Linked DNA regions of Yarrowia lipolytica. The protein of the gene in region 1 interacts with the protein of each later gene in a pairwise test. Links are inferred from orthologs where the notes say so. Each region holds a gene or a part of one and is shown on either strand. Other genes may lie near its edges.

The links.
Region 2: the proteins of YALI1_E16919g (region 1) and YALI1_A03487g interact in a two-hybrid assay, tested with the Saccharomyces cerevisiae proteins (2 studies listed by BioGRID). The link is inferred for Yarrowia lipolytica from reciprocal best matches to the Saccharomyces cerevisiae genes SNX4 and SNC1.

Annotation. Positions count from the first base shown.
Region 1 is NC_090774.1:1,686,721-1,699,667, reverse strand, and holds YALI1_E16919g (uncharacterized protein), read right to left. Parts: upstream 7,776-12,947; coding exon 6,465-7,775; downstream 1-6,464. Other genes in the region: YALI1_E17014g (uncharacterized protein), read left to right, coding at 1-120; YALI1_E16982g (uncharacterized protein), read right to left, coding at 490-1,452; YALI1_E16974g (uncharacterized protein), read right to left, coding at 1,449-2,243; YALI1_E16968g (uncharacterized protein), read right to left, coding at 2,348-2,866; YALI1_E16956g (uncharacterized protein), read left to right, coding at 4,000-4,488; YALI1_E16950g (uncharacterized protein), read left to right, coding at 4,685-5,857; YALI1_E16900g (uncharacterized protein), read left to right, coding at 9,620-12,947. UniProt on the Saccharomyces cerevisiae protein: Sorting nexin, involved in the separation or division of vacuoles throughout the entire life cycle of the cells.
Region 2 is NC_090770.1:343,700-355,874, forward strand, and holds YALI1_A03487g (uncharacterized protein), read right to left. Parts: upstream 5,077-12,175; coding exon 4,729-5,076; downstream 1-4,728. Other genes in the region: YALI1_A03442g (uncharacterized protein), read left to right, coding at 513-1,058; YALI1_A03450g (uncharacterized protein), read left to right, coding at 1,386-2,891; YALI1_A03507g (uncharacterized protein), read left to right, coding at 7,005-7,061, 7,106-7,288; YALI1_A03512g (uncharacterized protein), read left to right, coding at 7,503-9,137; YALI1_A03549g (uncharacterized protein), read right to left, coding at 10,549-11,217. UniProt on the Saccharomyces cerevisiae protein: SNC1 and SNC2 are vesicle-targeting proteins essential for normal secretory traffic between the Golgi and the plasma membrane. They may also be involved in vesicle fusion.

The DNA.
Region 1 (12,947 bases):
ACGACTGCTCGACGACAGCAGCAGCAGACCCGAAGCGGCAAGGCCACTAAAAGCAGACCCGATAAGACCAAAGGAAAAAAATCCAAAGATGGCAAGGATAAAAAGTGTGTCGTGATGTGACTTGGAATACAGTCGAAAGAACATCCTTGAAAATCAAAATAAAAGTTACGAATTACGAATAATGATGTTTGGATGGTGCTTGTACGAACAACTATCTGGTTACTGATGTAGCCATCGACTTCTCTGCTTGAGATCATGTATTTTTCTATTTCGATCTGCGATCATCGCATCATAGACAACCATTGCTCTGTATTATGAATTTTGCTCCCCCAACTCACCATGTACTGCAATATAGCTATGGTTATTACGCAATAAATTACCTATGATACTCATACTCCGCTGAGACCGTTTTCTTCGTTGTGGACTCTTCTTCATCAGAGTTATTCCACCAACTTTCCTCGTCAACTTTCCTTGCATTTCTTTCTCCTCCTACTCTCCAGCCTTACGCTTCTTAGGCCGAGGCGCAGGCGAATCCAACTCTGTCACCAGAGGCATGTCTTCCTCAATCTTGACTTCAGGGTCAAACATGTCCGCCTCGTTATCAATGTAGTCGTCCATGTTGAAATCCTGCATGGGCACAATGTTGGGGTCGCCCACGTTGAACAGGTCAGAAGTAGGATCAGGGGTAGGTGCAGAGCTGATTGTGGATGCCGGCGTGGGAGCAGGTGCCTGCATCGGGGTGGGCTGCTGCTGAGGCTGCTGCGGTTGTTGCTGGTGCTGCAACTGCTGCGGCTGGTATCCCTGCTGCTTCTTGAGCCGGTCAGTGAACTGGTCAATGTGACGGCCATGATCCTGAAGCTGTCGCTGCAGATCGTCGGCCTTGCCGTTGCCGTTGATGTTGAGGTTGTTTCGGGGACGCTCGGCCGACCGGATCAGCTGGTCGTTGGCGCCCTGGAACGCCTCTAGCTCAGGGAATAACGCGCCGGGCGTACTGGGCTGGTAGTTGTAGTTGTGGTGCGACATGTTCTGCGAGCTATGGGAGCTAGTGGAGTTGTTTCGCATTGGCGTCTGGGGCATGTTGATGGAGTTGTTGGAGTTGTTAGAGAGTATCAACGAGGAATTCTTGTTGAGGTCTCCGAAACCCATGGGAGGCTCCATGGACTGCTGCACAGTCTGGGGGTCCAGCATGGAGGGCGTGAAGTCCGACAGGTCAGTGAGGTCCTGCAGGTTGTCGGGAAGCTCCGATCCCGTGTCGGTGTCGTATGCCGTAATCTTGTCGTAATTGTTGCTTGTGTTGTTTGTGTTGTTTGTTTTGTTGTTTTCTTCCCGGGGAGATCCTGTTACCGTCTGCGGTGAGTTGGTAGAGGACAGCGGCTGGACTCGTGCAAACGAGGGGCTGTCGTTGGGGTTATTGCTGTTGTTGTTGTTGTTGTTGTTGAACATGTCGTTCATCTCAAAGGGGAAGTTGCCGCTGTTCTCTGCGGCAGCAGCAGCTGGGAGCCGGCCCCCTCATTGATCATATGTGTAGCCTGGGCGGGATCAGTGTTGCCCAGAAGCAGACGCTGGTTTCTGTTGCCAGAGATGGCTTCTCCAAGCACCTTGCCCTGGTTGCCGTACAGAGAGGCCAGGAAGCGCATAATTCGCTCCAGCGTCTCGCCATGCTGCTTGTGCTTGTCCTTGAAGCCCAGGTTCTCTTGCCACAGGAGCTGGTTGTCTGTGCGGAGCTTGTTGACCTCCTGGGTCAGGTTAAGCTGGTTGAGCTTGATCTGCTGCAGCTCGTCCATCAGTGTGGTCATGTCCATTTCCTCCTCCTCGTCGCTGCCCTTGGTTCCCTTGTTTCGCACAATGTTGTCGAGCAGGTCTTCGCGGCCGCGGATGAAGTTGGGGCTCTTGAACTGCCACACCTCGTCGTTGGATTGCATGCTGCCACTGGTCACGTCCTGGACCTTGTGCCACCCGTACATGTTGAGCTGCCGCACAAACGACGAGAAGTTGTTATGTTTGAAGAACCGCGGCAGCACAATTTTCTCCAGCTGCTCTCGGCCCGTGATCTGGAACGACTTGCCGTCAGGCATCCACCGGATGTACTCGTCGTAGGCAGGGTCGTTGACCATGTTCCACAGCTTGAACACAAACGCAGGCCGGCCCTTGGTCTGGCCGCCGCCCTTCTTTTTGTTGTAGCCGATTTTTTTGGCGTTGGATGCCGCCTGGCCCTGGCCCTTTTTGACCAGAGTGTTGGACATGATGTTGGTAAGTGTGGTGGGAAGTAGTTTCGAAAATGTGCTACTGAAGCAGCTGCAGGGGTCTTTGTGTCGATGTGACTTTGGCTGTGTGGCGAACAGAGACACTACCGCCTTGGGGGAGGTTGCAAGCTGTCGTATCGAGAGGTGGGGGTAGTGGTGATGAAGACGCTCGCAAAGCTTTGTGTTGCTGCAATGGTTTTTGGGTGCTGCAGAAGCTCTCTCAACTCTCTTTTGCCCTCTTTAACGCTCTCGCACACGCACTTGTATAGCAGTAGAGTGTCGCTGGAGTGTTGCTGAGATGCGGGTAGGGTAAATGTAAAAAAGTGTCGGTTGGGACAAGCACAATGAAAAAGAAAAAAAAAAAATTCAAAAAAGTAAAAATTAAATAATTGTTTTAAAAAAAGGTAGCCAAGCCAAAAAAGAACATCCGCAAGGCGACCTGATATAAATGCACCCAGTGCCGCTACTACTACATGATATAGACGCTCCATGCACATATATATGTGTGATAGAGCTGCAGAGACAGACTGCCTCGTCAACGGAGCCAGAACCGACGCCTTTGCACGACTCCTAACAGCCTTACCCTTGGGTTTAACGCAGGCGTCACCATACCAGGTGTGCATGAAATCAACATTTGCGTCCGGTTATCTTGCATCGAGGCGGATAGGGGGTGCCTAAGTGAGAGTCTCTTCATCGGGCTACTGCAAGATGGCCGACACCTTCTGTTTCACCTGTCGCGCTTTTCGTGTCGATAAAGCACCCTAAAGCGCTGCATCTCGGCTCGAGTCCCTACAAGTGGTACACTCTACATGTCTTCGTCTGCTTGTCTTTCTCTCAACATGCTGCCTCACTCTTGCGGTTAGACTCCATGGCACACGGCCGAGCCCCAGAGTCTAAAGAGCCCTCCTCAGAGTTGCCAATCGCTCATTTCAGCTGTTTCAGGCACCGCGATCGTCTTGGGCGTCCGTCGTCTACGTCGCAAGTGTAAATAGCTCACATCGGAGTGCGAGTGCGAGTTCGAGTGCAGTGGTGTTGGTTACAAGGTAGACAGCCTGAAGCATCCCGACTTACTATAGTACATACTACTACAAGTTCACACCACCCAAAAACAATCAGCCCAGGAGTTGCAAACCTACCCTACCCGCCGATTGATAACGTCACGTGACCAAAGTCTCATTCCATTCCAACCCAACATTTTTCTCAAACATACGTCTGACAAGCACATGAATGACGTGTGTCGTTTACTCCATCCTCGCGGACGATGTTATGGGGTGGAGTTGCTAACGTTGCTTGTTGGCCGAGTCCATATGAGACATGAATGTTGTGTGGGTCTCTCTCTAGATTGGCGCTTGTATGAATGTTCAGATTTGCTCGGAAGTTGGGTCAACCGTGGTCATTCCGTCCTCCAATCGGTTCGGGAGCATCAATGAAAACTCGTCAATTCCTGACACTTTGATCCTTTCAAATTTCTTCTTCCGTCCTCCTAAATTGGTGTCTGTTCGAGAGCGGATGTTGAGCGGGACGGCAGAGAGCGGTTATGCTTTTCAGGCTCAAAACATTGTTGCTTGAACCCATATGAAACCTGAAACTGGTACGAATGCCCATTGAGGAACGCATGCTCTGTTAATACATAATACACCACCCAGTCCGGGGTTTCTGTTGTTTTTTTCTGTTGTTTTGTCTGTTGTTTTCTGCATCATCTGGCCACTTTTGATACTTTCAACCAAGAGCGCCAACTAACTCCAACTAACTTCCAATGTCCCGACTAAACCGCTCAATCTTCTCCTTGCTAGGCCTCGGAAAAACGCCGCATGTGTGCAGCAAGGCAACGGAAGGTCACGTGGAACGCAAAAGTATACCCGCTAGAGCAGCCCGGTGGACCTGTGGACGTGACCACCCACCGCCCGGGTGGGGAAGGCCCTGCGTTGGGGCCGATAGGCGAGAAAACCACTCGAAAATCGCTCAAATAATTATTCCTAGCCTGACTGTTGCAGCTCACCTTTATTTTCCAGCGTGTGCCCCACTGCGTCCTGACACACACTGTTTATTTTTGACATGTGTGAATGGCTGGCGCGGATGTAGACACCGGATCCCGGACCCGGTCGGCAGCGCAAACGGCGCCCGTAACCAGCCCTATAACCACCGCAAAAAACATGCGCCGGGGAACGCAAAAAGAATGGCGGCTCTGGCCCGTCGCTTGCCCCGCCGTCCACTTGTTGAAGGACGCACCATGTTCGTTATCTGACCGTTGCCGTTACGTGTAGATTAAACTTTTGGGCAAATCCAAAATATCTACGGGTGCGAAACGCTGTCTAGTCCTCTCTCTCTCCAAGCGTACTCTTCGAGCAACACCACTGCTGGATCCCGTAACGACGCCCCGCCACAGGCCCCCCGCAACACCAATACCCGAATCACCCCCCAACCCCGCCACCCAAGCAACCATGGGAAACGCACAGAGCCAGGAGGAGGCCAACAACAATGGAGCTGCTCGGCAGCACCGTCCAGCGGACAACAACGGCCATCACGACCCCAAGGGCTCCGCCGATCCGCAGCCCATCCCCCAGGAGGGCTCCGACAACACACAGAACCATGTGAGCCATTCGCCAGAGCAAATGTCCGCCAACTCGTCGCATGTCAGCGCAACACCCTTCAACAACCCATTTGAGCCCGCCTCGTACCACAAAGAGTCGCCTGCTCCGGAAAGCGTCCCCGTCCCCGTGGCGCCCGCAAAGAGCCACCCCCAGCGGCCCAAGATGCGACGAAAGTCAACTTTGCTGCTGGATGAAGACGAACCCGTGGGAGAGAACGACGACGATATCCCCTTCGACAAACTCAACATCACCCATCCCACATCCAACGAGCCCAAGCCGCTGTCACGGGTGGACTCCGGCGAAGAGATCGAACTCACCTCCCCTCAGGTGACCGAAGGAAAGATCCCCCTCGAAATCAAATGGACTCAGGGAGGCTCCAAGGTCTACGTTACTGGAACCTTCACTGGTTGGAGAAAGATGGTGGCTCTGACCCCGGACCCCAACAAGAAGGGCGTCTTCTCTACCACCCTTCATCTTCCTCCTGGAACCCACAGACTGCGATTTGTCGTTGACAATGAGCTGCGATGCTCAGACTACCTCCCCACAGCCACAGACTCCATGGGTAATCTTCTCAACTACGTGGAGGTGGGTCTATCGGACACCGAGGAACGGGCCGACCAGAAGGATCTGCATCCCATTTCTCGAGCAGGCATCATCCCCAGTAACGACGATCTGGGAGGAGGCTACGAGCGGTTCACTGAAGAAGATCTGCCCAAGGAGGAGTACGAGTTCACACCGGAAATCCCGGCTCTGTTCACCGACACAGAAGTGATGGAGCAGTACATCTCCAAAGAGTTGCCCACGCCTCCCCAACTGCCTCCCCATCTGGACTCGGTCATTCTCAACACAAACTCCACCGAAAAGGAAGACAACTCGGTGCTGCCCATCCCCAATCACGTCATTCTCAACCATCTGGCCACCACGTCCATTAAACATAACGTTCTGGCCGTGGCCTCGGTCTCCCGGTACTCTCGTAAGTACGTGACCCAGGTTCTCTACGCTCCTTTGCCTCTTCAGGCATAAGCATAGGTGGAAATGAGGAAATGAGGAAGGAGGTTATATAGAGTGTCGCAGTACGTACAGTAATTAGCATAGATGTATTTGGCGATAAGGACATTAGGAGAGCACCCGTAATGAAGAGATCAAAAGGAACAGTATGATCTATGACAGGTGTTCCTGTACACTTGCTTCACTCGCTTCACTAGACAGTGCATATATCGTGTGAATGTTATCAATCTACTGTATATTCCGTGTACATACTATATAATACCTCAGACAAATACAACTCAATAGTGCAGCTGCGAAGCTGGAAATCGAAAAATCAACTCTTCTTGCCATCCTCTAAGAGCACACAAAAACGCATGAAAAATTGACCTTTCCATCTCACTGCTTTGAAGGGTCCATAATGATGAGGTTCAATTGATATGAAACCTTATTAAAACTTCCTTTATCAATCTTCTTGTACAGACTTGTTTGAATATATACAAATACGAGTAGTGGAGTTGCACAACTTTGGGTGGCGTCAATTGATAGGTTATCGGAGTTATTCATCATCATCAAAATAAACCAGTGCACAATGGCTTCGAATTATCATTATCATTATTATCGTTAGGTAAGCACTTGAATACCGTCACTCTCCAAGAGCATCGTAAATAGCCTCCCAATCCTTGACCAAAGCCGCATAGAAATCCACCTGTCCAGAGGTCAGAGTCTTGAGAGTCTCCTTCATCTCGCCGGATCGAATCTTGTCGAAAGTGTTAATCTCGCGCTTGGTCTGCTCGTCAAAGGCCTCGGACGTGGTCTTGGCCAGATTCGTCTCGCCCGTGAGACTCTCGATCCGGCCCTCGAGCTTCTGCAGCCGTTCCCGTCGTGAAAACTCATGGTTGATACCCCGAATGTCCTCCAGCTTGTTTCGCAGAATACCGTTCCCTCCACCAGACACCAGCGCCTGTCTTTCGGCCACAGCTCGCTCATTGTACTCCACCAGGCCCTCGTAGTCTGCCTGCTTCTGGTCTCGTTGTTTGAGCAAAGCTCTGACCGACACAAGATAGTGCATGAGATCCTTGAGAGAAGACACGTAGTCGGTATCAAGTTTCTCCTTGAGCACGGCTGTGTTGATGGCCAGCGCCTGCAGGCCTCCAGCAAACTTGGAAAACTCTTGTTCCAATGAAGGAATCAGATGCTCCAGCTGGCCCACGTGCTGCGACAGGTCCTGGTAGTCCATGACCAGATCTGACTGTCGACGCACAGACCGAGCCAGTACCTTTTCAATGTGCGACACACACACGTCCAGGCGGTCGATTCGTTCCTTGACCTCCTGGAACTCCTGGGCCGTCTGTGGGGGTCGAGTGAATGCACTGACCAGCGTGTCGGACAGTCCGTCCAAAATTCCTCCGTCCACAATCAGTCCTCCTCGTGCAATGTTGTTTTTCTTGTATGCGTTCCATTCGCCAGACTCCAGAAAGGCGTGGTAATATTTGGACCGTTTGAGCAGGGGGTGATGTGCTATGCGTGAGAGAAACCGTGTCAGAGATGCTGCTCGCTTGACTGTGAACTCTGTCGAAAACCGGTCCCCTCGAATGTACTCGAGACGCTGCTTGTCCGGGAGAGGGGGCACCACACAGGCCTGGAACTCGTTGTTCAGGCAGTTGTAAAGGAAGACAAAGTCCGAAAACCGGCGTCGGACTCGGAACTCCTTGTTCGAGAACTGCGTGTTGTTGGACTTGGTCGTCACGAGGTATGTGATGTGGGCGTTCTGGGTTCCATCCAGGTCTTTGGCCGGATCGCTCACCACAGAGTCGATATAAGTCTTGTCATTTTCGAGCGCATGGTAGTCGCTTCGATACAGGTCTGTGTCTGAGTGCGACGAGGGTCCGTTGGACGATGACGCTATGCCGTTAGAAGGACCACTCGAAGGCCCCGCTTCATCTTGCCATTCCATCGTATGCAGTGAGAGTGTGTGATGGGGTTTGATGGGGTGTGGTTGTAGTTGTAGTTGTTGCTGTTGTTGGAGTGGGGCTCTTTGTGACTTGTCGTCTTGTTCTGTGTCTGTGCCGCTCCGTCGACCGTCGTTATCAGGTCGTCAAGTGTTTGGCTCCCTATTGCAACAGGCACAGCGAAGGTGGACTGTAGGTTTCTGGGGTTGCCACAGCCCAGATAGAGTTCAGTAACGTGACGTTGATAGTGGTTGGCAGCAAGTGCACCAGTGGAGAGCGTACGGGCGTACGATAGTATGTCGAGAGGGGTACGGCGGGTTTTGTTGGATTTTTTGCTTGGAATCACTTAATGGGTTTTCCAGAAAGACTCTATTCGCGTCTCGTCTATCTCCATTTATAGAATAAGTATAAGTACACTACAGACGGTATTTAGCCTAAATTAACCCCCAAAAAAGAAGGAAAAAAGAAGGAAAAAAAACGAGACATGAGGTCAATATGGAAGAGACAGAGATATGGCTGGATTCTAATGAGTTGAGACCATTCGATTGGTCCAATATTTATCCAGATTGGGCAACAGATACGTGTATGAACTGCTCCTTAACTAGCATATGTACATACTGTACTTGTACATCTCAATAGCGTCTAAAGGCTGAGTAGAGATGAGTCAGAAGGGTCCACCTGATGAAGAATGCTTGTTGTGTGTCCTCAAGCAAACCAATTGTGTTTGTTACATACCCAGGAACCTTCCAATGTCGTCTAGTAGCTCATAATCTGTTTCCTGGAGAACTCCGAGGTCGGAATTGGGAGTTGCAGGAAGTACCATCTGTCCTGATACGACAGGCGGGTGATGTACCTGTACTAGCATTGTGGCTACTTGTAAAAAATGATGAACTATTCTGCTGGAGATTATTCCTGGTGCTCACTTCAAAGTCTTGTCTTTCCTTTCTGGTACGAGTGCTCGTTCATAACTACAGTAGTAGTTACTAAACCACTTCTGGCATCCTTCACAACGGCTCTACGAATAGCTACTGTACATACCCCAAGGAAAGTACTTGAACCGAGACTGTAAACCACCAGAATGGCCAATCAAAAGCCACGTCTTCGTGCTTCCAATTGTCCTACTCGTTCCGATTCTTGCACCGGCATTCGTACACGCACATACTGTACAAAATGACCTCAGACGATGCATGCTGTAGACACCTGCAGTTGTAGATTCAGGGGTTGGTTGAGTATATTCAAGTGTGGATCGATACTCAGTATGAGGATATTCAAGTGTTGACTGAGTATATTCAAGGGTCGATTGAGTATATTCAAGGGTCGATTGAGTATATTCAAGTGTTTAGTGCTTGTGAAAGGGACATTTGACTAGCTTGTCGCAATCGGATCACATGTTGACGGAGTTTTCGAACTACAAGTAGTTGTACGGGATCGCATTGTCACGCACAGTCTTCCCCGTCCGCCTTGTGTGTAAATTATATGCCCTTATTCCTTTTTATTTTGGCTCATGTTTTGGCTTCCGGCGAAATAATAACATAACACACACGGCTGACAGAGATGGGCAGCAGAACGTGATAGATGGTGGCTTGAAGCCATATATTGAGTACATAGAAACTCCATCAGCCATCCACAGTTGATATATTTTTGTCACGTGACCGCAATAGATGTTGCCCCCCCTCGGGTCTAGGAGCCATCTGGGTCCCTTCACCTTTCGCGGAGGAATTGCATGGGTGATGCACGACCATGTTATTGTTCCAAACTTTCATCCGGATATTGTCCCTGACTGTTCAAGCACCGCTCTCCAACGCTCCAACCCTTTTCAGCTCGTCGGCCACATCCCTATGAACCGATAATGAACCAGCCCGACCCCAAGGCTAACGTCAGGCCGCTGGCCATTCGAGGAAACTCGTGGTACAGCGAGACTGGTGAGGACTCGTCGCAGCAAACATCCATGCCCTCATCTCCATCTCAGCGACTTTTGGGCAGCACAGCAGCCTCCAGTCTGGCTGTGTCTCCCGTGGGATGGGCCACGAGGGCCGGCATCACGCTGCCCCTATTCCGAAAAGCCTCCATGATCCTGCCAAACACAGGACAGCGAGTACGACGACAAGTGACTTTCAGCAACGAGGAAGGGCGACTGGTGCCACAGACAATCAAGATAACGCCTGAAGAACTGGAGGCATTAGCAGACGCAAACGCAAACGCAAACGCAAACGCAAACAATTTCCAGACAACGTACCAAAATTACAACAGTATCACCGAATTTGGAGAACCCAACAGCAGTTCTTCTCCAAACTCGCCAGAACCGGACCCCGAACGGTCCTTCAACTACGCTGTATCGACAGTTGACAGCCCCACAATGTGCCACAGACACAAACCAAAGCCCACAGGAGTGTTTGGGAAACTGAAATATTACGCCACTGGAGCATGGATCGATCCAGAAGCAAAGGTCGTCTTAAAATGTTCAGTGGGATACCTTCTAGGAACCGTGTTCGTCTACAACGACCGTCTCTCAAGACTATTGGGTAACGGTGACTCCAAACATATGGTTGCCACTTCAGTTATTTATTTCCACCCAGGAAGAACCATGGGAAGTATGGTTGAGGCTCTTATTTTTGCATCTATCGCCCTGCTGTACTCCTTTTGTGTCTGTTCTCTGAGTATGTTAGTGTCGGCATTTCTGGTCGACTTGCATATGCGCCTATTGGCGTACATTATCGACCTAGTCATCTTCTGCGCCGTGGGACTGGGCACTCTGGCCTTTGTTAAGCAGAAAATGGACTTGCCGACTTTCAACACTGCCACTTCACTGGCGTGTGTGTGCCTTGTTAGTGTGCTGACGAAGGAGGGAAACGTGCAGCAGGGCAGAATTTCTTTGGAACAGCTGAACCAGATCTTCTTGCTCGCCATTACTGGTTGTACTGTGTCTGCTCTGGTTTGTGTAACGCTCTGGAGAACTTCTGCAGTCACAGAACTCAAGCAATCCATTTCAAACACCATGGACATATATGGAGACATGCTTCTGTATCTTACCAGGCAGTTTATGCGGGCTGTCGACGTGGACAGCGTCGAGTACATTGAGCTCAAGGCCAAGCTGCGTGCCCAGCTGAGTTGTTTCAGAAACATTCGTCATGCGAAGCTGGAACTGTACTTGACAGGCCGAGAAGATGAATACCACCAGCTGGAGAAGCTCGTTCATCACATGAACAGTATTCATCAGCATCTTAACGCTCTTACTTCAGGTGTTGAAACGGAGCATTCTACATTGACGCGAAAGAAGCTGTCCCAGCTGTTTAAGGACAGCCCCATCAGAAAACGACACTCATTGAAGAGAACTCTTTCTACCCCTGGAAGTTCTCTTCCTTCCCCGAATTTTGCATCTACAAAACCCAATGAGCCTACAATCACGCCTGAAAATCTGTTTGATGTCTTCTTATACCACTTGGGTCCACCCATGAAGTCTTTTTCTCTGACCATGAAGCGGATCTTGCACGGTTCGGAGCTCGACAAATGCGATGCCGAGGCGGATGTTGCTCAGTACCAGAGATCACTTGGTCTTGCTGAGGAGCTATTCTGTGAAGCCAGAAAGAAGGCTCTGGCTGAAGTCTACGGCTTGGGGCTGTTTAAGCGAAGGCACAATGACGAGTTCATCACTGATTGGGAGCAGGTGGCGGCTTCGTGTGGTAACTTCTCGCTGCTGCTTGAAGAAATGGCTTCTGAGGTGCAAAAGTTGCTGGGAAGCATAGAGGGATACCTCACCATCCGTGAAAACGACGAGAGAAGCTACCGATGGCTGTGGGGAGGCAAGCATAGAGAACCGACGGCAGCAGAGGAGGCAGAAACTTCCCAGAGGAGTGCAGTCAACAAGATCATCAGTGGACGTAAGACCATGGCGTTCATGACTCGACAATCTGATCTTCTGGAGGAGGGGTTTGCTGGGCGAATGCATGATGATCTCAATAGTGCTCTGACTAAGAAGGCAAAGCACGGAGAGCTCGAAAAACCGTCTATGTCGTTCCGTCTGTGGAAACGCCTGCGTGTTTTTAGAAGACGAGATGTCCAATTTGGAATTAGGGTAGGTATTGGAGCAGCTATGTTTGCTACCCCCGCTTATATGCCCAGTCTTCAGCCAATTTTCTATACATGGAGGGGCGAGTGGGGGTTGATTTCCTACGTGGTCATCATGTCCAAGTCAGTAGGAGGCACTACTTGGACTGCCTGGAAACGAATTATCGGTACGTTTTTGGGTGCTATGTGTGCCTATGTGTCTTGGGTTTTGTTCCCAGAGAACGAATACATGTTGGCATTGATTGGAGCTGCCATTTCTTATCCTTGTTTCCGCATCATTGTTACGTGGAAGGATAACAATGCGTTTGGCCGATTCGTTCTGCTCACCTTTAACATTACAGCTGTGTATTCGTACTCGTTGTACCTTGGAGACAACGACAATGACGACGATGAAGGAGGTCTAAGGCCTCTGGTAGGTACTATTGCTTTCCATCGGTTCGTTTCTGTGTGTGCTGGAGTTATGTGGGCGTTCCTGGTTACTGTTCTATTGCTCCCCAACAAGGCCCGAGTCAATCTCAAGCATGGTCTGTGTTCACTCTGGTTGCGAATGGGTCTTACGTGGAAAGACCCGCTGGCGTCCCAATTTGATCCTGCTACTGGAGGGTATAGGTTGGTTGGGCTTGCTGAGCAGCCCCAGTTGCAGAACACATTGATCCAGCTGGACGGTCTGCTCAAACATGCCCCCAACGAGTTTCGTCTCAAGGGCCGTTTCCCTAAGAACACGTACGACAACATTCTCAAATCAACACAGAAGATCCTTGATGCGTTCCAGAACCTGCGACTGGTCATTGAAAAGGACCCCACCACGACTCCTCATGAAGCTGTTCTGCTCAAAAGCACGCTGGCTGAACGTACTGAGCTCAGTCATCGAATTTTCCTGCGGTTCTACATGCTGGCCTCTGCCATGAAGCTTGGTTTCCCCTTCCCAGACAATTTGCCCTCCACCAAGCATTCTCGAGACCGTATGATGGTCAAACTGAATATCTATCGAGGCAGTCAACCTGAAGAGTATGAGCAAAACAACGTCATGGCAGCTGGTTCGGAAATCACAGATAACGACTTTGCGCTCCTGTACATCTACATTCTGGTCTGTGTGACCATCACCTCCGAGC
Region 2 (12,175 bases), on another chromosome or scaffold:
TGATTTTAAGATTTTCGGCCGTGTGGTCTAGTAGCTATGATTCTCGCTTTGGGTGTGAGAGGTCCAGGGTTCAAATCCCTGCTCGGCCCCTTTTTTAGATGCCCTCGAAAATCAGTCCTAATTGTTTTTTTTTTTTTATTTTTTTATCTGTCATCCCCTCCACCTTGCTTTTACGCCTTGCAACAATTTATCCAGTCCCTTAAATCACGTGTACATACTGTACTTGTCTGTTTCAACACCCTGTCTGGCAGGACATGAGATGTTGGACGGACTCTCCTGTGGGGCTCTACTTGTAGGTTTAGCAGTCAGTTATAGTCGATCTAAGGGCAGATTCTGGGAGCAATACGGGGCAGTGGAACCTATTTAGTCGACCGGATGGTGGGATTCGAAAGCTTTTATCGAGCTTTGAACGGGCAGTAGAATGGCATCTGTTGCACTAATGGCGAACGGCGCAACGCTCGGAAGGTCAAGAACTTGTAGTTTCCAAGTACGAATACCATAAGCAACCGACCATGCACCTCACCGTCCCCTCTTCATTCAACAACAGATGGCCAGTTCAAAGTCGATTAATGTTCAAAACCCCCATCTGTATGTTCCATCTGTTGCAGATGTGTGGGGTAGGATTGAAGTTAGTCGCCGACAGGGTTCTCGTTAAGGCGAGGGGAATAGTCGATAAAAGAGGTATTGAGAGCAAAAGAGGAAGAAAAACTAGACAAGTGATCATACAGATCCCTTATCAAAGCCGATCTGAACGGGTTTCCCCCTTCCTTTCTCCTACTGTAACGCTTCTTGGGTGGTACAGGAGAACCTCTCGTGAGACAAAGAAGGTGGGGGGCACTGCAGACGGAAGTCCGGAAAATGCAGACCCCGACAACAGAGTGAGGGGAGCAAATGCCAAGACTGGTTATCTGGATGTAATTCCCATTGTCCGACAGGTTTCGGCCGAAGTTACGTTGACACAAGTTCTAATTCAACCTGTAGGCATTCGTAGGTACACCTCCCACCGCCGTACACACCTGACGCGGCTAGATTGTTTATTTGCAACTGTAACTATGTAGTAGCAAGGATACAATTAGCATTGGGTGGGTCCTTTTGATTGTGGAGACAGTTTCGAACAGTCCTGTCCCGTTGGTTCGCTGTATTGAGGTCACAATTGCGTGGTTCTGCGAGTTTACGTCTAGAGTAAGCAAAGATTGTCCAACAATCAACTTATATCCCAATAAAACCTCACCGACACCCCTCCTACCCCACAGTACCATATCATTCCCCACAATCCAACTTAATGTGGACTTCTGCTGAGTCTTCTGAGTTTGCTGAGCTCCTTGTACTCGCCTTGTACTGGTTTCCTATATAGCCATGTTGGGGGTGTGTGTAGAGCAGTAAAAATGAACGAATCAACCTTCCCAAAGACCTCAATTGAACATCTCGAGGACACCAAACACTCCATTGAACACCTGGAAGATGACAAGCCGTCAGTTGAGCATCTGGAAGAGACCAAGACAGACGATCTTTATGTCCAACACAGCGTCACTTCTGGACAAGTGTCAGACGTCTCCATTTCAAAGAAGAAAGAGGGCCATCTGAAATTACACAGAAGTATAGCCGTTGGTTGCCAATTCCAAGTTTTTCTTGCTTCTCATATTGTTTCAAGGGACGTGATTGGAGTGACTGTCACGGGAGGAATTGAGCCTTTTCTGAAACTCACCCCCTCTGAATATGAATGGTCGCAGGCAGCACTATACTTCACCTACGCTGTCTTTGTAATTCCTATGGCTTTGCTGTTTGCTAAATCGAACCCGCGCGTGTTTGCTGGAGTCCAAATGTTCATCTGGGGTCTCTGTTGCACACTGTTGGGCATCTGTGTCAATTACGGAGGTCTTACAGCGGACAGAGTGATTATGGGGGCCGTCATGAGTGTTGCGCTACCTGTAATTCTTCAGGTTACATACGAGTCTCATGGAAGATTCGAGGGACAGTTTGTCATTGCCTGCTCCTGGGCAGTATCTTGGTTCATGGTACCGCTGTTTGCCCTCATCGCCATTGCACTTGGTCTGATTACAGACGGAAAGCCCGGTTGGGCGTGGATGTTTTTCATCACCGGAATCTGTGGCTGTCTTCAGGCTCCTCTGGTGTGGAGATTGCTGCCAGACTACTTCTACCACCCCAGATGGATCAGAAAACATGGTGAAGACGGATACCAGCTGTTCAAGAAAATCACCGAAAAACACTATGCTGGAGGAAACCCGATCGAGCCCATCGAGACAGTCATTCAGGGCCTTGGAATGGCTCTCAAAGACCCCATTGTCTGGCTCACCGGTGCCATGGGTCTCTTTACTTACAATGGTATCTTTTCGTGCTATGGAGAGCTCATGACCGTGACTCTGCACGTGCTCAAATACTCACCAGCTCTAGGTCAATGCATCGTTTGGCCCATTCTGGTGTGGAGTTGCTTCTACTGTCTAGTTCAAAACTGGTTCTCCACTAAGTACAAGACCAACTACCCGTTCCTGCTGGCGAACTACCTGTTTGCTATCATTGGATGGGCTCTCGTTCTGTGCACGCCCAGCCACAAGAACTTTTGGATCAAATATGGAGGAGCGTGGTTCATTATCCCCAACATGGTCGCTGCCATGCCTACTCTCGCCTGCTGGCTGGGGAGCAACGTCCAAGGAAGAAACAGAAGACTCATGAGCTTTGCCGTTTTCACCTTCATCACTAACTGGTATGGAGTCATTGTTCTGCGAACATGGGTCGCCACCGCCGCTCCTCTGTTTGTGAAAGCCGCCTGGGTCAATATGGCGTTTATGATTGCCGGCGTTGTATTCACCGCCGCCCTGGTGGTGGTGCTTAAGCTGAAGACGAGTCACGGGGCCTTCGTGTATTTGCTGTAGGTGATGAGATTAGTTGTAATTGATGTGATTGTTGTGCGAGGAATGAGCCGTGAAACTTGACGAAACAAGTAGACCAGTATACTGTCAGAAGCTGAAGAATGGTGAGTGTATCACTATCTCTATCTCCGAGCCAACACCACCTAGATATTGGACACCCGCTGAACAGACTGGCCTGTTGCACGTTTGACCAAAATGAAGACTACGAGAACCTGTCTCCCAAGGAGCGAATGAAGCTCAATCCCGATAATGACTATAAGGAGCCTGAATACACCAAGAAGTGCCGTTAATGATGAAGACGAGCATCCTGACAAGGAGTCAATATCTGTTCAGGACGATAACAAAGTCCCTGTGGCTCTGTGTGCCAGACTACCACGAAGTCTCTGAGGTCTGTATGCCGGGTGAATCCTGACCGCGCTGATAAACCCACCCTGTTGAACACGGATAAGGAGAGAAAAGTAAGATCGAGCGTCCTTCCGAGCACCAGACAAGTTCGAAGACTTTACGATGGTCAACTTGATGCAGTGTTCAGGACAAAGTGTCATCCCACAAGTGGTCTCAGAGACTGCAGAGTGGTTATCGGACGTCTTCCCAGTAAGTCACAAGGGAAACTTGTACATAGATTAACGACCTCCACTTGACTGGATAGGTTGCACATGACTGGATAGGGCTTGTTCCGACTTCACAACACCACAGGACTCTTTGGAGGAGTAGGACTGAGCCCACATCAGGTCAACATCAGGTCATCATCTGGCCAGAAAAAATCCCCCTGCTCTTGTGGATTTATCACCACAAACGGGAACAAGGTCTCTCCGATCAGTAGTAAGTCGCCAATCCATTTGCGAGTCACTGACATATTTGATATAAATTCACTTGATATTTTTTTGAAAAATTATATATATTAAGGTTTCTGATTGATAAGATAAAAGACGGGGGTCTGTGGGGGTCAGTATCATAACCACTCCACCATCGCTGCCTGGTTTTGAAATCGCTGTTAAGGTGCTTTTACGCACAAGCTCGTATCGCTCAGCCACATGCCATCAGTACTTGATATATGCAGTCAGACGTCACAAACTGCAGATCTGTACATGTGGACTGTATCTTGGGTTCGAACTGGTGATAGCGATTCTTACGGTACTGTACTAGTATTGCATTCAGAAAGGTGTATTTGAGAAAAAACTGGCTTGGAAGTGACTCCTACAGAAGGTGGAAATCTCGTCGGTGCACGGAAAGTAGATTCCTCGGCGACAGTTAAGTAGAATGATGTTCTACTTGCTCTCAAGCGATCAATCTACTTACGACAATGCCGATAGTGATAAACTCAAGAGCAACTTATCTGAACCCGGCTACGGTCTTCTATCCGACTCTGTCTCACACGTATCGATCGATGGAGTTGAGTGTTGACCCGCAGCTCAGTGCTTCCACTGCACATCTGTCTCTGGAGTCGCGATCTCAATGAATCCATTACTGAAGCCTCTCGGCAGTCTGGATATTCTATTGAACGACACCTGATGCAATCATGCCGTGGTACTTGTTGTGTAGAACCTACCGCTCGCCCTGATCGTCCGAGTGTTAGTTGAGCGTTGGTCGAATGAGCGTTTGTTTGACTGGGTGCTAGTAGACCGAATGTTAGTCGACCGAGTGTTAGTCGACCGAGTGTTAACCCTGACTAACGCTTGTTAGCCCTTGCACTGTAGCAATTGACGGTTCCAGCTGATCTACGAAAATGCCATCTATCATACACAGTTAGCATTTATTCTCATATAGTCGTTAATAAGTCCCGACGCGCGGACGTCTGCTCTAAAGGTGCGTCTCTCCCATGTCGTGTCGCCACGTCTATCTATCGTCCGGAAAAGTGGACCGCGATCGGAACCACAATCACCACAATCAGAATGATGACTCCAATGACCAGACAGACCTTCATCTTGAAGTCCTTGAGCCACATGGCCTTTCGCACCCGGTTGGCGCCTCGTCGGAAGCCCTGGGCCGACACCGCCAGGTTGTCTGTCTTATCTTGCAGCGAGTCCAGTCGTTCTCCTCTCTCCGCCACCTTGTTGATGTTCTCTCGCATGATGCCCACGGTATCGTCGATTTGCGCCTGGATGGCGGCCGTTTTGTGGTTGCCCGTATGGTGCGTCTGCGCATGGCTCTCGCCGGCGTACGGGTCGTACGGCATGGAGGACGACATTGTTGTTGGTGTAGCTAGCGGCAAATCGTATACCTGGTGGTGCGGTTCAAACACATGGTTGGTGGGGTCGCGGTTAGGGTAGATGGTGAGAACCTTGACCCATGTGTTTGGTTATTTTGGCCCGGAGGTATTTTTAGACCGAGCGGAGCGCGTTGATACGAGTTGGGGAGCGAGCTATTTTGGGCCCTTTTTTCGTTCGTTTTTGTTTACAGAAAATCCGCTTGTTTTTGGCCCGTCAATTGGACAACAGGGTCCGTCTGAGTGCGCCACGCGTGGCTGGGTAGAGTTTTGGAAGAAAAATAAAAAATAAAAATAAAAAAAAGAAAATATAAAAAAATTCATAGAACTAAAATCTGGAAAAATAAAAAAATTGGTGAGAACAAAACAGCACAGTGCAGTAAGGTAAGTAGAGAAAGGCGTTATTGTTGGAAAAAGGAAACCTTTAGCTGGTTATTTACTTAATTGTTGGGGAGTTACTGGGTACGTACAGTATGTACAGTACAGTACGTATGTGTACTGGTGTGTAATATAATGACAACCAGGTGGCGGAATTGATCCACTGATCGGGGCTTTTTGAGAAGCCCATGATTCTATGGTGAAAATATTCTGTGTTTTTCTGTTGTACAATTGCAGGCACCGTCTTCTCGTGCTCATATCTGAAAACTTCAAAGAACCGTCTTGGCACATAAATGACAATTATTCACCCAATTCGACTCACTCTGAGCATTTTATGACTGTAAAAATGTCCACGATATGTATTTTGACGGGAATGTTACCTTTTTCGATCTCCTGATATACTCATATTCTCTTGGGTGTCTCCGAAGACGGACAACCGGCTCACGGAGTCAATCTTAAGTAATTACCAACTATAATTATAACAAATTGTAGTGGAATACGTAACAACAACAGAGCCAGACTAGAGGGATCCAGGAGATTTTGAGGAGTTGCAACATCTAATGTTTACATCAGAAAAAGGTACTATTAGTACAAGTACACTACATTATTGTCCCTCTTGGCGAGTATCACTATCTAGAGTCACTCTTTCCAGCATAACACTACTCCGCGGAGAGTATTTGACACCATTGTCTGACCTGAGGAGATTATAAAAGAGGAAATGCTCCGGTAAATGTCCAGGCCCAAAAAATCGTTGCAAAGGACGCCTGGAACATATCTCTCAGTGCCCAGAACATCCCTAAAATGAACGTTGGAACTTGCTCGTCCGCAGATCATCTCAATTCCGTAGAGGTCATGAGGTCTTAGGGACCAAATCGCCTCCCCAGATCCACTCATCTCTCTCTTTTTCCCATTCTTTGGTTCTGGCTCTCGTGACGTCATCAGTGCACAAGAAAGTTGGTGTCTGGTGAATGAAGGAGGACTAACTGTCAGTATTGTACATTACTGTTGGTGATGCAAGAGGTTGCGAATATGGAGAATAAGGACAAGGATCTTGCTACCACAGAGATGATATGACAACATCAGTGCTTGTATTTACTGTTTTTTGGCCGGACTCGTCGAAGAGCCGAGAAAACTCGATTACTTTTCTCCCATACTTCTCTCCCATACCGATTACGTCTCCCCAACCAACACTAATACGCCATGTCTGGCAAATCCCGGAATAACTATTCGTACTGGTAGCTTTCTCCATTCCGTTCCATCTCATTTCATTTCACTTGCCGGTCTCTCTTTCTGTCCAACCTAATCCAATCAGGAATGTCGGGTTCGTCCGCTCGTTCATATATGTATGTATTCGACACGTGTGGCTTGACTGCGGCTCCCGTGCTTTCTGCCGTGCCATCTCGCATCGTCTACACGACGCAAAAGTCGCGGAATCGGTGCGACTTCGACCGGTGGGCGTTTGTTGCAACTTTTTACGATTTCAACTGCCTATAATATCGCCCGGATTCAGTCTCAACGGTCGTCAAGTCGCCATGACCTCCCCCCGCTACCATTGGCGAATCCAATCAAGCTTCGCGCCGTCCAAACTTGTCTTTCTGAAAAACAGTTTGAAACAGAAGCCTGTCTTATCTAGATAGCGACGCACGCAACCACGCAACCACCAGACGTGTGTCCCAGCCCGGGCCAAGACCCGATAACGCGCGATAAGCGGCTAAGTTTGCTTGTTCGAGTCTTGGCAGGCTTGGCAATGCCCCTCAGACGAGGTTTTCTCGACCACAATACCCTCCAACGCCCACTCCCTTCCTGCCCTTTTTGAACCCACTACACGCCCCGACCATGCCCCCCCCCCCCCCCCCAAAGCTAACATGGGCCTTTAGTGTTAGTGTTTGAGCGACTGTATATAAGTGGAATCGGAAATTTCGACGAGTAAATCACTCACCAGTCGTCGGCATAGTGTCGTCGCTTTTCCCTCCTGTCCTTATCGCCATCGCTCCCCTCACCATCTCCTTTTCCGCTGCTCCAAACCCACCATGAACGACCCAGAGGCTAAACCCCCCGACACCCTGGACAACCAGGTCCTGGCCGACATTGGATACAAGCCCGAACTGAAGCGCAACTTTTCCAAGCTGCAAATGTTTGGAATCGCCTTCTCCATCATGGGCTTGCTTCCCTCCATCGCCACAACTCTCTCCTACACACTCCCAGCAGGGCCCTACGGAATGGTGTGGGGTTGGTTTGTGTGTGCGTTTTGCGTCATGAGTGTGGGGCTCACCATGTCCGAGCTGGGATCGGCACTACCTACTTCGGGCGGTCTGTACTGGTGGACCTTTTATTTTGCGCCCGACAAGCTGAAGCGCCCGTTGTCGTTTCTGGTTGGCTACTCCAACACCCTGGGCCTGACTGGAGGAGTCATGTCCATTGACTATGGATTTGCACAGATCTTCACCAGTGTGATCATTGTGGCAACAGATGGACGCTGGAACCCGTCCAAATACACCGTCTATGGCATCTTTGCCGCCTGTGTGGTGTCTCACGGGTGCGTGGGCTCTCTGGGAACACACCATATGGCCAAGTTCCAGACCATGTGCATTTTCATTAACTTTGCCGTGATTCTGGTGGTCATGATTGCTCTGCCAATCGGCGCCAGAAACAGACTGAACACTGGAGAGTACATGTTCTCCCACATTGACAACCTGACCGACGGCTGGCCCGACGGCTGGGTGTTTTTTCTGACATGGCTGTCACCCATCTGGACGATTGGAGCGTTCGATTCGTGCGTGCACATGGCCGAGGAGGCCGCAGACGCCACCAGAGCTGTTCCGTTCGGAATCATCTCGTCAATCGGTGCCTGCTGGGTCCTGGGCTTCTGTCTCAACATTGTGTTTGCAGCCGTCATGCCCCATGATATTGCCCCGCTCTTGAACACCAAGTTTCAACAGCCGATGGCCCAGCTGGTTTACGACTGTTTGGGAAAAAACTGGACGATTGGAATTATGTGCATTTTTTTCTGTCTACAGTGGACCATGGGCCTTTCGAACGTGATTGGAGCGTCGCGACAGTCCTGGGCCTTTTCGAGAGATGGAGCTCTGCCCTTCTCCACATTCCTCAAGGTGGTCAACACCAAATACTCAAATCCCATTAGATGCGTCTGGGGAAACGCCCTTTTGGCTCTGGCTCTGGGCTCCATCTGTATGATCGATGCTACTGCTGCCGCCGCCATCTTCTCCCTGTCGGCTGGAGGCAACTATCTGGCGTGGTTCATCCCACTGACTCTGAAGCTGGTGTTTGGACAAAACAAGCTGACTCCGGGCCCGTTCTATCTAGGCAAACGACTCTCCATTGCTATTGGAACCTTCGCGTCCACCTATCTGTTCTTTGCAATCATCCTGCTGCAGTTCCCCGGCACCACAGCCCACCCAGACAAGCTGTCCATGAACTACACATGCGTCATTCTGGCCGGCGTCTGGGGAGGCTGTCTGACATACTACTTTCTGTTTGCTCACAGATGGTACACGGGTCCCAAAACCACCGTCGATGTGGTCGATGGAGTGGGCGAGTCGTCGTGCGAGTCGATTGAGCTGGTGGATGAGTCCGAGGGCGAAAAGAAGAGGGTGGTAAACGACTACTCGACGAGTCATTCCACGAGTCAGACCACGTTAGAGTGATATAGATTTTAGACGACATAAAACAAAAGATGGAAACTAGAAGCAAAAAATAGAAGCAAAAAATGGCGACATCCGCAGGATTCGAACCTACGCGGGGAAACCCCAAGAGATTTCTAATCTCTCGCCTTAACCGCTCGGCCAGGATGCCAATTTGTGACGTAAAAATCGCTCTGAATTGTTAATATCTATGTTGTGATTACACAATCAAACGAATTTAGAATGAAAAAAAGAATCCAGGTTAAAACTAGAATGAAATAAAATAAATGAAATGAAAAACCGACCAAAAACCGACGTTACAAATAGAATGACTACGAGATCTAATTGAAAACTATCTCAGATATTGCAATGCCTTCATGGAGAACATACCCAGTTCGTCATGGCGTTTTCTTTGGTCAAGCGAACTGTGGAAATGACGAACTGGGATTGTGAAGGGGAAGACACTGTGATTTGTGATTTTTTTCTTCAAAAAACCGAATCAATGCACGTATTTCACCATATTCCACCATTCCGCCCGAGTTGTATGACTGCTCCTTGTTTCTTCAGGCTATCTTTCGAAGCTGTCCAACTCATCCTCTCATCATTACAACCAGATGACCGATCATAAGAGTAAAGCGTTTCAAAAGCCGTAATAGGACTCTCTCAGAATCTAACAGTTACGATCACCTATCACACGGTTGTCAACCCCCTGTGAGGCTTTGATTCACCACCTGGTTTCACCACCTAGTTCACAACCATGGGTCTCCTACTCATACTACTGGTGCAGCACAGCTCTCCACTATTTCTGCAATTGGGTCTGCATATTCTAAGAACAAAAAGGTGAAGGGCGGGTCTCTACTCCTTTTGTCGAGATCCCAATTCAAGCTCAATAGTCACCATTTATGGCACTCATACTACAAACTGTGCTATCACTGAGCTGAGTACAAGCAAGAGCACGAGAGTACGGTTCAACTGAAGTCTGTTGTACTTCAGCTATGGTTAATCTGCTCTGATAATCGCTCTCTCATGGCATGTCCTCTTTCAATTACCGAAAATGTCGACAGATATACAAGTACAGTACATTTTCAAATTGGAGATCCTAGGTTCCACGACCCAGTTACATTGTTGTATATCATATCATTAGATGTCCAACGAATTAGACAATGGTAATGACCTGAAAAAAATTGAACTGAACTGGACTTGGTCAAACTGCTTCATCTCGTTGGCCTGTCGCTCGGCTATGCTGTCGGCCAACAGTCACCTTCTGCCAACAACAGTTTCACAGTGTCAAATGCTGGCTTAACGTGTTTCTGTCGCTTCCGCAGCTTCTACTCAGGTGACAGGGAGATAACCAACAGTCCATGCGGCTTAGATCAATACGGTTGCATTGTCGCCGCAGGCTGAAGTTCGGTCGGTGGTTGCAACACCCGGAAGATCAAAAATGTCTCCATTCCTCCCGGTTGCGAATGACGTGAAACTCCCGGTGGCTCCTGTCCACTGCACACACTCTCCCGTCCTGGCAGTAATTGGTTTTGCCGGCTCGAAGATACAGCCATCTTCCACGAGCCTCGAATATGCCCTTCTTGACGGCGATTTCGACCCTGCCGTTGGACATGAGCGTAACACTGGTGATGTTTGAGTAGTCGCTGATCCCTTCCAGCTTGACGGGGGTCGGTGGATTTCGCAAAACGGGACATTCGAGCTCGGAAGAGGGCGAGTTAAACGAAATGATACCTGAGTCTTCGTTCAGAAGAGGAGACCTTTCATGCGAGCTCTTGTGACTGACATTGTTGCTGTATTTGAACTCACTGAGACAGTTGCGACATCGACAGAGGGGTTTCGGCCTGGGGACAATGTTGAGCTCCAGGTGCTCGACGTGTGCGTTAGAATAAACCCGTCCATCGCTGCAGTATCTGATGAACGCGGGGGCGTTTCTGAACCCTTTTCCGAGCCGTTTTTCAGACTCGTGGGGCACCATCAGCCTGGCGTTGTGGAAGGAAAAGTGCGGGATCTTCCCCAGCAGATTTCCGCACTCAGTGAAACCCGTGAGTCCAAACGAATCGCCCGGTTTGCTCTTCCACCTGATCTGGACGCCAATGAGCATTTCGCAAGTGTGCCAGTTGGTGAAGAATATGGTTTTCGAATGTACGACGACTTGCAATCCTTCCCCAGACCCGCAGGACACGTCCCTCTATTTATCATCTTCGACGATGATCCGATAGACTCGAGTTGAAGGTTCACACGGCACTCACGCCACACATGTCTTATCAAAGTTGCCAGGTGATACCAAATCTGCTGTGGCGGAGTTGATAGAGGTTCAGATATTGGTTCTCTGATGTTGATGACCAGGTGTGCCAATAGAGGCCGTGGTTATTCCTACAGCTAGACAATGTACCTGCTACCACTACTCAACACCATTCTACAGTTACAATACCGCATTTTCGCACCACAATCCAGATCTCAACTAAGGTGTATTTGCCACCTGTTGTTTATTTTCAAAACTAAAACCAATCATGAACGGACTTACTAACACATTCAACTATTGTGTAGCCCACGTATTTTGTACGTTTTTGATGGGGTAAAAAATACTAATGTTATAAAATATTTTGAATAAAAAACAATCAAAAGTCAAATTTAAGGTTTATCGTATTCGGTTGTATATTAAACTGTAAATAAAATATTCAGACATGTATCTAAACCAAGGGAGAACGGTGGAATGGAGCCCAAAGAAGTATCAAAGAGATGCCGACGGTGGTGTCTATATGCGTTAATAGCACTAATAAATGATCACGTCTCGGTTTTTATCTCTAAAGACCGTCAATTGCCAGTCAGCGTGCCGCGACCACTGTCGAGGTAGGTGCTCCACCTACCAGACGGCTATGGAAGCTGTTCAAAGAGACACCAATTGCAATCTGTCTTTTCACTTTTCACCTGCTGATCCTTCCACTTATCGAGGGGACCGTCGTGTTAGGACTTCCCGTCTGATCGCCCACAGTCAAGCTTCAGAGAGCCCAGTAAGTATTGCAGGGATAAGTATTTGTAGGGAAACGAGGGCGCTGTAA